3 linked regions of the Sus scrofa genome follow. The protein of the gene in region 2 interacts with the protein of the main gene of each other region in a biochemical or structural test. Links are inferred from orthologs where the notes say so. Each region holds a gene or a part of one and is shown on either strand. Other genes may lie near its edges.

What was found.
Region 1: of the proteins of MAVS (region 2) and TRIM31, one has a biochemical effect on the other in vitro, tested with the Homo sapiens proteins (2 studies listed by BioGRID). The link is inferred for Sus scrofa from reciprocal best matches to the Homo sapiens genes MAVS and TRIM31.
Region 3: the proteins of MAVS (region 2) and MAP1LC3A form a complex in vitro, tested with the Homo sapiens proteins (2 studies listed by BioGRID and IntAct, with this or other methods). The link is inferred for Sus scrofa from reciprocal best matches to the Homo sapiens genes MAVS and MAP1LC3A.

The regions. Positions count from the first base shown.
Region 1 is NC_010449.5:22,678,412-22,682,157, forward strand, and holds the start of TRIM31 (E3 ubiquitin-protein ligase TRIM31), read right to left. Parts: upstream 2,821-3,746; 5' UTR 2,623-2,820; coding exon 2,206-2,622; intron 1,040-2,205; coding exon 944-1,039; intron 1-943.
Region 2 is NC_010459.5:31,866,915-31,870,660, forward strand, and holds the start of MAVS (mitochondrial antiviral-signaling protein), read right to left. Parts: upstream 2,360-3,746; 5' UTR 2,238-2,359; intron 1-2,237.
Region 3 is NC_010459.5:37,956,324-37,960,041, reverse strand, and holds MAP1LC3A (microtubule-associated proteins 1A/1B light chain 3A), read right to left. Parts: upstream 2,213-3,718; 5' UTR 2,061-2,212; coding exon 2,021-2,060; intron 1,698-2,020; coding exon 1,642-1,697; intron 1,556-1,641; coding exon 1,449-1,555; intron 1,142-1,448; coding exon 979-1,141; 3' UTR 537-978; downstream 1-536. Other genes in the region: PIGU (phosphatidylinositol glycan anchor biosynthesis class U protein precursor), read left to right, coding at 1-18. UniProt on the Homo sapiens protein: Ubiquitin-like modifier involved in formation of autophagosomal vacuoles (autophagosomes). While LC3s are involved in elongation of the phagophore membrane, the GABARAP/GATE-16 subfamily is essential for a later stage in autophagosome maturation.

The sequences.
Region 1 (3,746 bases), on a different chromosome or scaffold from region 2:
AGATGCGAGGGTGGCCTCAAAGCTCCTTCTACCCCTTTTTACTCAGTTTCCATTGTATTAAGTTTATCCTGAGCAGCATGACAGACCTGGAGAAAAGGAAAGGGGAAGAAAACAACATTTTTTTTTTTTTTGTCTTTTTGCCTTTTCTAGGGCCACTCCCTCGGCATATGGAGGTTCCCAGGCTAGGGGTCCAATCAGAACTGTAGCCACCGTCCTACGCCAGAGCCACAGCAACACCAGATCCGAGCAGCGTCTGGGACCCACACCACAGCTCACGGCAATGCCGGATCCTTAACCCAGTGATCGAGGCCAGGGACTGAACCCACAACCTCATGGTTCCTAGTTGGATTCGTTAACCACTGAGCCATGACAGGAACTCCCCGAGAACAGCATTTTTTAAAGCACTTACTATGTGCTTCATTTTTGTTTGGGGTTACTTGTTTATGTTTCTTGTCTGATAGCACCTACATATCTAACACTTAATACTTCGGTATCTAGTACTCACATTTCCAGAAGGCTTTTCAGTTTATAATTGGCTTTCACACAGATTTTTTTTCCCTCTGCACGTGCGTGAGCACACACACACACACACACACACACACACACACAACACAGGTAAAGATAATTAGGTGGGTTTACAATGTCTTCATTTTCTTTTTTTTCTTTTTAAAAGTTTTTTGTCTTTTTTGTCTTTTGGGGGCTGCACCCACAGCATATGGAGGTTCCTAGGCTAGGGGTCAAATAGGAGCTGGAGCTGCCAGTCTACACCACAGCCACAGCAATGCAGGATCTGAGCCGCATCTGTGACCCACACCACAGCTCATGGCAATGCCAGATTTCTAACCCACTGAGCGAGGCCAGGGATTGAATCCATATCCTCATGGATTCTAGTCATTTTCATTTCCACTGAGCCATGACAGAAACTCCTGAGTTTTTTTCTTACCATCAAGGTAGTGATCCTCTGGTCACCTTGTAACTTCATTTGAACGATCGCCCTCTCCTTTTGCAGCAGGGCCTCCACCTGTGATTGAATCTGCCCCTGTGGGGAGAGAGTTATCTTGGCAATTCCTGGAGTTTTCTTGGCCTCATGACACCCTCTGATCTCCCTGGAGGGTGGGTGCATCCTTGTGTAATGATTTTTTTTTTTTTTTGCTTTTTAAGGCTGCATCTGCAGCATATGGAGGTTCCCAGGCTAGGGGTCGAATTGGAGCTGTAGCTGCCGGCCTACGTCACAGCCACAGTAACACGGGATCTGAACCACATCTGAACCTACACCACAGCTCACGCCAATGCCAGATCCTTAACCCACTGAGCAAGGCCAGATTGAACCTGCGTCCTCATGGATGCTAGTCAGATTCATTAACCACTGAGCCACAATGGGAACTCTATCCTTGTATAAAGATTAATAGAGCCACCTTTGCTGTTCAAACTGGGGGCTGGGGTGCAGTGTCGGAGCCTAAGTGATGCACTAGAAAGGAATGTGCTAGTAAATTATAACTAATATATTAATGACTAATATTTGGATGTGCTTTGGGATTACTGAAGCATTTCCACAAACCTCTCATTTGCCATACCAACAATTCCTTTTTTTTTTTTGGTCTTTTTGCCTTTTCTAGGGCGGCACCCGCGGCATATGGAGGTTCCCAGGCTGGGAGTCTAATTGGAGCTGTAGCTGCCAAGCCTACACCACAGCCACCCAACGCAGGATCCGAGCCGAGTCTGCAACCTACACCACAGCTCACGGCAACGCCAGAACCTTAACCCACTGAGCAAGGGCAGGGATCGAACCCGCAACCTCATGGTTCCTAGTCAGATTCGTTAACCACTGACCCATGGTGGGAACTCCCATACCAACAATTCTTTAAAAATACATTTTGTTTGTCCCATTTGAAAGGCGAAGCACAGAGAGGTAAAGGAATTCCTTGAAGGTCACAGAGTCAATTCAGGAGTCTGAATCTGGACCCACACCTTCTGTCTCAAAATCCCTGCATTCTTTCCATTCTCCATTACCCCTTGGCTTCAACAGGCATCAGCTCTTCACACACAGACATTTGAACCTACCGGACCTGACCGTGAAGTGTCTGCTCAAGTGCCAAGATGGCAGCAATGCGGTACAAACCAGAGGCAGGAGGTGACGGTTTCCAGGCCCTCACTGAACTCCTGGTCTGTGGTGGGGGAACAGGGAAGGGACCCCCAAATGCCTACCTGAAAACTCTGGGCAGCTTCTTCTAGCAAAATTGTGTTGTGGAATTTGTGGTCCTTGGATCCACAACACGCCACACAGAGGACCTTCCCATCGGACTCACAGAAGTAATGAAACCTCTCCCCGTGCTTCGGACACTTCAGCTCTTTCACTTCTGGCTGTTCCTCGGAGGGATCCATAGCTTGGATTTTCTCCACCAGATTCACCAACAGCCAGTTGGGCCTTATCGTGTCCCTCTTCACAATTTTGTTGCAGAGGGGACATTTAATAACGCTGTCCAATCCTTCCCTGCTCCGCATGATGCATTGGAGGCAGAAACTGTGCCCACAGTCGATGGTAGCAGGGTCCTGCAGGATATCCATGCAGATGGGGCAGATCACCTCCTCCTGAAGCTTGTTGGTAAACTGCTGACCAGCCATGATGGAGACGACGGCAGCGTCAAGTCTGCAGAGAGTCTAGGATCCTGCTGTGGACACTGGTTCTACAAAAGGAGGAAACAGAGGAGATGAAGGTCAAAGGGTCCATCAGAGAAGCAGGAAGGAGGAAAAGAAGTGCTAGAGAAAAAAAAGGAATAATAGAAAAGATTAAAAAAAAAAAAAAAGAATAATAGAAAAGATTAAAACCAGGAGTTCCCATCGTGGCTCAGCGGTTAGCGAACACAACTCATATCCATGATCGGGTTCTATCCCTGGCCTCACTCAGTGGGTTAAGGATCCAGCATTGCCATGAGTTGTGGCGTAGCTCACAGACATGGCTCGGAGCCTGCGTTGCTGTGGCTGTGGTGTAGGCTGGCAGCTGTAGCTCCGATTCGACCTCCGATTCGACCCCTAGCCTGGGAATTTATTTATGCCACGGGTGTGGCCCTAAAAAGCAAAAAATAAATAAATAAATAAACAGAAAAAAAAAAAGGCAAAAAGAAAAGAGTAAAACCAATGTAGGGACTATCATAAAGAAGAAAACCGATGGGCAATGCTACCTCACTACCTCTCGCGAACAAATGGATATTGTAAATGGATTTATCCTGCTTATAAAATGGGGCAAGTTGTCCTGAACCTTGGACTAATTAAAGATATGTTTATGAGGCCATTAACAGAGATCAGAAGGACCAGGGCACCAAAGTCCACTGGCAGTTGTTCAGGGAGGGAGTAGAGGGGCTGGAAGTCACCTCCCGAAAGGTCACAGCAGGTCACCAGTGATGCGTTGAACATCTCTTGTATGCAGAGCCCGAACCATGGAAAAACATGGAAAGGAAGGAAGAGGGTAATTCCCTGCCTCTTGTAGTTTGGCTCTACCCTTTTAAGAGTTTTGTGCAAATGTGGAAGATGTAATCACCCACTCAGGGGCTTTCCCATTATTTATAAGGAAAAGCAACCATTCCCCTCATGGGGCGGGGCTGGGGGGGGGATTCCTAGCACAGTGGGAGGAGCAAGGAACTTCCTCTCTGAAAGGGCTGTTCTCCATCCTGGCTGATCTTTTACTTCCCCATAGCACCTGTAGCAAATCTGTCCTCTTTGGGTTTTTTCTCAAATGTTTTCCATCTCTA
Region 2 (3,746 bases):
TTGATTTATGTTAAAGATCTCTGTGGTGGAGTTCCCATCATGGCTCAGCAGTTAACAACCCCAACTAGCATCCATGAGGATGCAGGTTTGATCCCTGGCCTCACTCAGTGGGTTACGGATCTGGTGTTGCCATGAGCTGTGGTGTAGTTCACAGACGTGGCTCAGATCCTGTGTTGCTGTGGCTCTGGTGTAGGCCAGCAGCTGTAGCTCCGATGGGACCCCTAGCCTGGGAATCCCCGTATGCCGCGAGTGAGGCCCTAAAGAGAAGAAAAAATTTAAAAAAATATATATATATACCTCTGCAGTGATTGTAAGGACCCTGTACTGTGGAGGGGGCAGGATGGAAGCAGGGAGATATGTCAGGAGGCCACAGCAGGGACCCCATGAGGGGTACACCAGGATGGTAACCATGAAGATGGTGAGGGGTGGCCGGATTCCTGGTATTTTGTGGATACAGGAGATGAAGGAGAGAGAAGGATCTGGAATGACACCTTCGGCACTGGGTGGATGGAGGGTGCCACTTAGCAAGCCAGAGAATCTGCGGGAGAAGCAGTGGTGCAGATGGGGCTCCAGGGCTCCATCTGAACAAGTGAAGTTGGAGATGCTATTGGATATCCAAGGGGCTTTTCCGGGAGGGAAGGGGGCAGAGTAGAGGGGGCAGGCTAGAGTAGAAACATGGGTGTCAAGCTTGGGTGGGAGCTCTAGGAGACAGTGCTGCAGAGCAGAGAGTAATGTAAAGCTGCTGAGGCTGCCAGTCCCCCACCACATGTGAAATGGGGCAGCAGTCCTGCCTACCTGCTGCCACCGGCCTCATAGCCACACACTGCGCAACTTGCTTTGCCAACACCAGGTGCAACTTCCCTCGTGAGGCAAGTACAAAAGACAGAGGTCAAGAGGATCAGGGAGGTGGGGCAGGGGTCCCCTGAGCCTTTAGGAAATGAGCAAAGAACACTGTGGGGGCAAATATACCCATTTCCCCTTCCCTCCTGTGGGATACAGAGAGGTATCAGGAGAGAGGCAGGTGAAACATTCTTCTGCATCCCAGTCTCAGCCCCTGAGGCACAGAGTCTGGGGGTATCGGGGTATGAATTGGTTCAACCAAAAAGAAAGGAACCCCATATCTGTTCACATTTATTAAGGGTCCACTACTGGCAGGCACATACTAAATTTCTTTCATTTAATCCTTGCCACAATCCCTTAAGAAATGAAGCCACGTTGCACAGCTGACCAGTGGCCTAACAGGATTTGAACCCAGGACTTGTTGCCTAATTGAAACTCATCATACACGGTGCAGGGCAAAGAAACCCCTGCAGCAAGCGAGACTCACTTGACTCCAGGCCTTCAAACCCCAAGGTCACTGCCTGGCTGGGGATGGGGGTGGGGGAGGTGTAGGACTGACTGAAAGTGGCCTGGGAAAAATGCAGAATTTGGTCCCTGCTCTTGTGGGGAATGGAATCTTTTGGACAGATCTGAGGCCCTTCTAACTCTGCCCACTACAGCAGCCGGGTTCTCAGGTCCTTTCAGAAGTCCTTTCAGGTGTTTTTGAGCCTTCAAACGAAGAATGTTGATTTTTTTCCATTGTTTTCCTGACACCTCCTGGTCTCGGATAAGATGCGCGGCGGAGTGCTCCTGATGGATGCGGCTAGGAGAGTTTCTACCCCGACTGCACCAGAGGCTGTGTGTCCGTTCCAGAAAGAAAATTCCACCCTCCCGGAAGGGGCGCGGCCTCACAGCCTCAGCTCGGATTCCATAATTCCTGGGCCAGACCCAGGACTTCAGAGGGCGGGTGGGCTGTTCTGAGCAGATGTCAGCGCCGAGAACAGTCAGGACCCAGGGGACGGCGGCAGTCCTCGACCCCTCAAGCGCGGCCGCGGCCTCCAGACATTAGCGCACCCGGGCTAGGCCTCGCCTGGGGATCACCCTGGACCTGAGGGCGACTGGAAGGGGCTCAGGAGTCAGCGCCTGTCTCCTTCCGGCCCAACCTCGTCTCCAATCCAAGCAGACGCCGGTGCCACGCACCTCCCAAGCCCTCAGTGATGGTTGCGGCGCGCGGAGCCCTCGCTGCCCCGAACCCCACGAGCCTAAGAATCCGCTCTTCTCGGCCGCCGGGCGCCCCAAGCCTCATGCGGCCCGAAGGACTCCGACTCCCACTCAGCTCCCTCCCTGCGGGCTACCTCCCCGAAAGGCGTCCGTGCCCCAGAGCCCAGAGGACCGAGCTCCAGGGCCGGCGATCTTACCTCGGGGTAGCCACGGCCAGGCAACCTGCCTCCTGTAGCCTATAGCCCGGAACCCTCCCCAGCAGGACAGGAGAGTGGGGGCCGGAGCTGCACGGCCATTGGCCAGACGGCGGGGGCGGGGTTTCGGCTCCAGTGGGAGCCACTGGGCGGCGGGGGGCGGGTACTCGGTGGTGGTTTGGGGGCCTGGACTCGCCGGACGGGCGCTCGGGACTGACCTGGGTTCGTACTTTTTGGAGTGCAAAGGAGCAGATGACCAGATGACCTTCTTTTCTTGTTTGTCTCGAGCAACTTCCAGGGGGAAGTCCAGGGTCTGGTTAGAAACCAAGTCGAAACTGTGGCGGCCTTGGTCCACGACGCTTCCCACACGAAGCTACCATTCCTCACGCTGAGTAATTTGAGGGGTGAGGGTCTTTTGGTCGTTCACCCAGGGCCTATCACATAGTCAGTGCTCAATAAACGTCGGATGTCATGAAAAGTGCCCAGCCAGGCGACACGTTCTGGGCCTGAGGAGGCAAGATCGATCTGGAGTGCGGGGGTGGGGGGATAGGTGTATGAAAGGGCCAGGGCGCCTAGTTTGTCTCACAAGGTTGGGCACGCTGGGGGTGGGCTCTGAGTGCTGCGTGGAAACGCCCTCTCCTTTCAAGAATTCTGGTTGGTACCTCACCGCAGTTTTCCCCAACCGCCTGCTCTGCCGAGGCAGCAAAGGCCAGCAGTTATTGAATGCCCACTGTTTCAGGTACAGACTTAAAGTCTTAGGGCCCATTAAATATTCTCCCAAAAAAAGTAGAGGTTTATTTTTTTTCCTGTTTTTGTTTTTTGTTTGTTTGGTTGGTTGGTTTTTTTTTTTTTTTGGTCTTTTTGCCATTTCTTGGGCCGCTCACGTGACATATGGATTTCCCAGTCTAGGGGTCCAATCGGAGCTGTAGCCGCTGGCCTACACCAGAGCCACAGCAACGCGGGATCTGAGCCACGTCTGCGACCTACACCACAGCTCACGGTAACGCCAGATCCTTAACCCACTGAGCAAGGCCAGGGATCAAACCCGCGACCTCATGGTTCCTAGTCGGATTCGCTAACCACTGCGCCATGATGGGAACTACTTTTTTTTCCTGTTTTAAAGAGAGATTAGGAGTTCTGGCTGTGGCTTAGCCGGTTAAGGATCCAGAGGTGTCTTTGCTGTGGTGGGGGTTGTGGGTGTGGTGGGTTAAGGATCCAGCCTTGTGAGCAGCTGTGGCATAGGTCCGAGCTGCAGGTAGTATTTGATCCCTGACCTTGAAACTTCCATATGCTGCAGGCGCAGTCAAAAAAAAAAAAAGAGAGAGAGAGAGATTAAAAGATTTGGGGAAATGCTTGGCAGTCCTTAAGTTAAACATATGAGTTAAACATATGAAATGCTTGGAAGTCCTTAAATTAAACATATAAACCCTATGAGTCCACTTGGAAACACACACAATAGTGGCTTTATTCACAATATGCAAGTTCTGGAAACAAATGTGCATAAACAGAATG
Region 3 (3,718 bases), about 6.1 Mb from region 2:
ATGCTTGTGCTCAAGTAGGCCTGGCTGGGCACAGGGCTGCACGGACCTCAGGGGGCGAAAGGCCCAGAAGCTGGGCCAAGCCCTCTAGCCAGCGTTGCCAGCAGGCAAGCCCTGGGGCAGATGAGGTTTGAGTCCAGGGTCATGAATATCTGGCACCAGTGAGGAGCCAAGGCTGGCAGCAAGGCCTGTGGGGCGGAGCCAGGAGTCTCCACCTGGCCCCCACTGTGTGGCTCTGCACACCAGGAGCCCCTCCCAAGCAGGAAAGGGGAAGAAGCAGGTGAGCAGGGTTTGTTAGGCTGTGGCTACTTAATAAATGTTTCTTTTGTTATGAAAACGTCTACCTGGAACCATGCTGCCCTCGTGGAAGAGGTGGGCTTGGCCTCTAGTACCCCCACGATGCACTATACACAGGCGTGGGTTTCCTGAATGAGCCCTGAGTCCACAGCACACAAGTCTGTGCACCAGTGAGAGGACAACGGTGGGGGCAGCCCCACCCACAGCCCTCCCCACTCCCCAAGCAGCTGGAGGCAAAGGGCCAGGCAGGCCTGAGCAATCTTTATTCTGCAAAGGGACAATGACCACAGAGCCATACACCATGTCAAGACCAGGTGAGCCAGGACCCAGTCCTTCAGGGGTGGGCAGATCCAGGCATGGGCAGCGCCTCAGGTTGGGGAGGGACAGGTGGGCAGACAGGCAGGGGTCTAAAAAAAAGACAAACCACACAGGGCAGGGGTGCTGGGGGCTGCTTCCCACTCTTCCCCCTCCCAGCCAGCACCCGGAGGGGCAACCCTAATATGACTGGGCCAGAATCCATCCAGGGGCAGAGTAGGGGTGATAGGTGCCCTCTGGCTGGGTGGCAGCATCCCTGTCCAACCCACCAGGGGCAGGGGCAGAGACAGCTTAGTTCCAGTGCCAGGAGCTCCCTGGGCAGAGCCTGACAGGGCCCCCGACTCCCAGCCAACACCCCCTACTGCTGGCTCAGAAGCCGAAGGTTTCCTGGGAGGCGTAGACCATGTAGAGGAAGCCATCCTCATCCTTCTCCTGCTCATAGATGTCCGCGATGGGCGTGGACACGCTCACCATGCTGTGCTGGTTCACCAGCAGGAAGAAGGCCTGCGTGGGGTTCAGCTGCAGGCGGCGCCTGAGGTGGGCGGGAGGGCAAGCCAAACGTGAGGGGCCTGGCCGCTGGGTGAGTGTAGCCCTCACCCCCTACCCACCCTGACTTTGATTCTCCCCCTCACACCCATCCCAGCCCCTTCTAGAAGCTCTCACCTCTGACAAGATACTGATCCCAGGCCTGACCTTGACCGTTCCCAACCTCCCCAGAAGAGGGCTTCGGCACCCCGTCCCATGTCCCACCCCCACCCCTTCCTTCTCAGAAGGACCCAGACCAATGCCTGATCCCAGCAGGACCCAAGTCCCCCTCCTGACAGCTGCTGCCAGCGCACCGGATGATCTTGACCAACTCGCTCATGTTGACATGGTCTGGGACCAGGAACTTGGTCTTGTCCAGGACTGGCAGCTGCTTCTCACCCTTGTAGCGCTCGATGATCACCTGGGAGTGAGGTGGGGCGGGGACGCGTGAGCGGGAGGCTGGACCTGGGGCCAGGGGACGGGGGCGGGGTATGCGGTAGGACTCACCGGGATCTTGCTAGGGTGCTGGTCGCGGATCTGCTGCACCTCCTTACGGCGGTCGGCTGCAGACAGCAGTCGGGGATGAGGCCAGCCGAGGTTCTCCTTGGGTTCCGCCCCACTAGTCCCCGAGGGGCGGCCCCCGACCCCGCCCCGCCCCCCGCCAAGCCCCAGGCGGGTGGAGGTAGGGCCAGGGCCGGGGCACAGCACTGGGATGGGAGGCGGAGGCCCGGGCCCAGGCCCTAGCCTGCTTCCCAGCCCAGGGGTCCAACCCGAGCTTGACGTCATGAAGCTGACGTCACCTGCGGCAGACAAGTAGATCTGCCAACACCCCCGACCCCCCCACGCCCCCACCCCTAGCGCTCGCAGATCGCCAGTCGGGCCTCACCGAAGCTCCGCCGCTGCTTGAAAGGCCGGTCTGAGGGCATCGCACAGGCCCGGCGGAGCGCGCAGGCCGGGGCTCCCGGTCGCGCGAGGCGGGGAGGTGGCTGTGGTTTGGGGGCTCCGGGGGCTCCGCGTCTCCCGCTCAAGGGCTCTGGGGCTCGCGCTGAGCCCAGCGGCGGCGGCTCGGGGAGGTAACTCGCCCGGGTGACGTCAGGTCATAACATTCCTTAAAGGGGAGGCCAGCGCGCCGTTCCCATTGGGCCGACGCAAAATCTGCCCGCCCGGGCCCGTGACATCACGGCGCAGGGAGCCTGCATTCCCGCCCCCACCCCCAACCCCACACTGCGAAGGAGGGGAGGCGCCCAGTGAGCGTCACAGTCCTGTGACGTCACGGCCTGTGCAGGGGCAGGCGAGGTGGGCTCCCCCAGGCCCAGGGTGAGGGGAGAATGGACGCCAGCAAGGCCAGGGAGCAGGCTGGCTGGTCTGGCGGTGGGGAGAGCTGGCCAGGCTGCGGCATAGCATCCTTCTGTTTCCACTGTAACCAAGGCGTCAGACAGCCCTCGCTCAGAGTCTTTTCTGTTCCAGGGACCGTATGAGGCATTGGGGATGACAACAGTGAACCAGAAGTCTTCATCCTGGAGCATATGGTTAGAGAAAGAAAAAGGTAGTGGTCATTGTGGGGGGTTGGGTGAGCATTAAAACATGAAGACAGCAAGACACTGAAAAGGAACCTAGAGGTTTTAGAAGGAATTTCTAGAATTGAAAAACAGCTACTGAAATTCAGGTCTCAGAAGGACGAGGCAAGCAAGCCCTGTTAGATATAGCAAAAAAGAAAATCACTGAAGTGGATGAGAGAGCAGAAGCAATTACCTGGAAAACAAACCATGTTTACATGGTATAAAATAAGTGACAGAAATGGCAAAGTGAGAATTCACAGGTCTAATTAGCATTCCAGAAGGAGAGAAAAGACCGTGAAGCTCTGGAGAAAAACTTCCAAAATTGATTAAAAACCAGGATCCTCATATAACATCCAGAACAGAATAAATAAAAACTCATCTAGACACTCTGTAGTGAATTTGCCCAACTCTAAGGAGAAGAAATTAGAAAAATGGTAAGCTACTAAGCTGGTAAAATGGGAAGTGGATCTAAACAAACACCTGCTGTGGAACAAGAATGGTGCTGATGAGTCTGGAGCATAGCACAGGAGCATGGCACATGTAGGACTGGGGAGGGGGGTCAGAGGTCAAGTGTTTTAAGAAGCTTGATTTATTGGAGAGGAAGAGGATAAAGCTAACTGATAATTACCTGGCTTTGTATAGTCAAGTATGTATTTCAAACACTTCAGAGGGATCACTCAAAGAATAGAAAGTATATGTCAATGCATAAAAGAGAAAAGTTTAGTAAAGGGTATTAAAAAAATGTAATAGATAGAAAAAGAGAAAAGGGAAAGCAAAGTGAAAAGAATGGTATATAAATGGTACAAAACCAGAGGTATTAAATGTTTTACATTCACCTGTTAAAACAGATGAACAAATTGGCCAAGAAAAATAAAATGCAGCTCTGCTGTTTACAAGAGGACATTTAAAACCTAAGGAAATCAAAAGTAAAAAGATGGGAAAAAGTATATGAGAGAAAAACTAACCAAAAGATATATTCATAGCATAGTCACAAAAAATAGGCTTTAAGGCTAGGGACACTATTA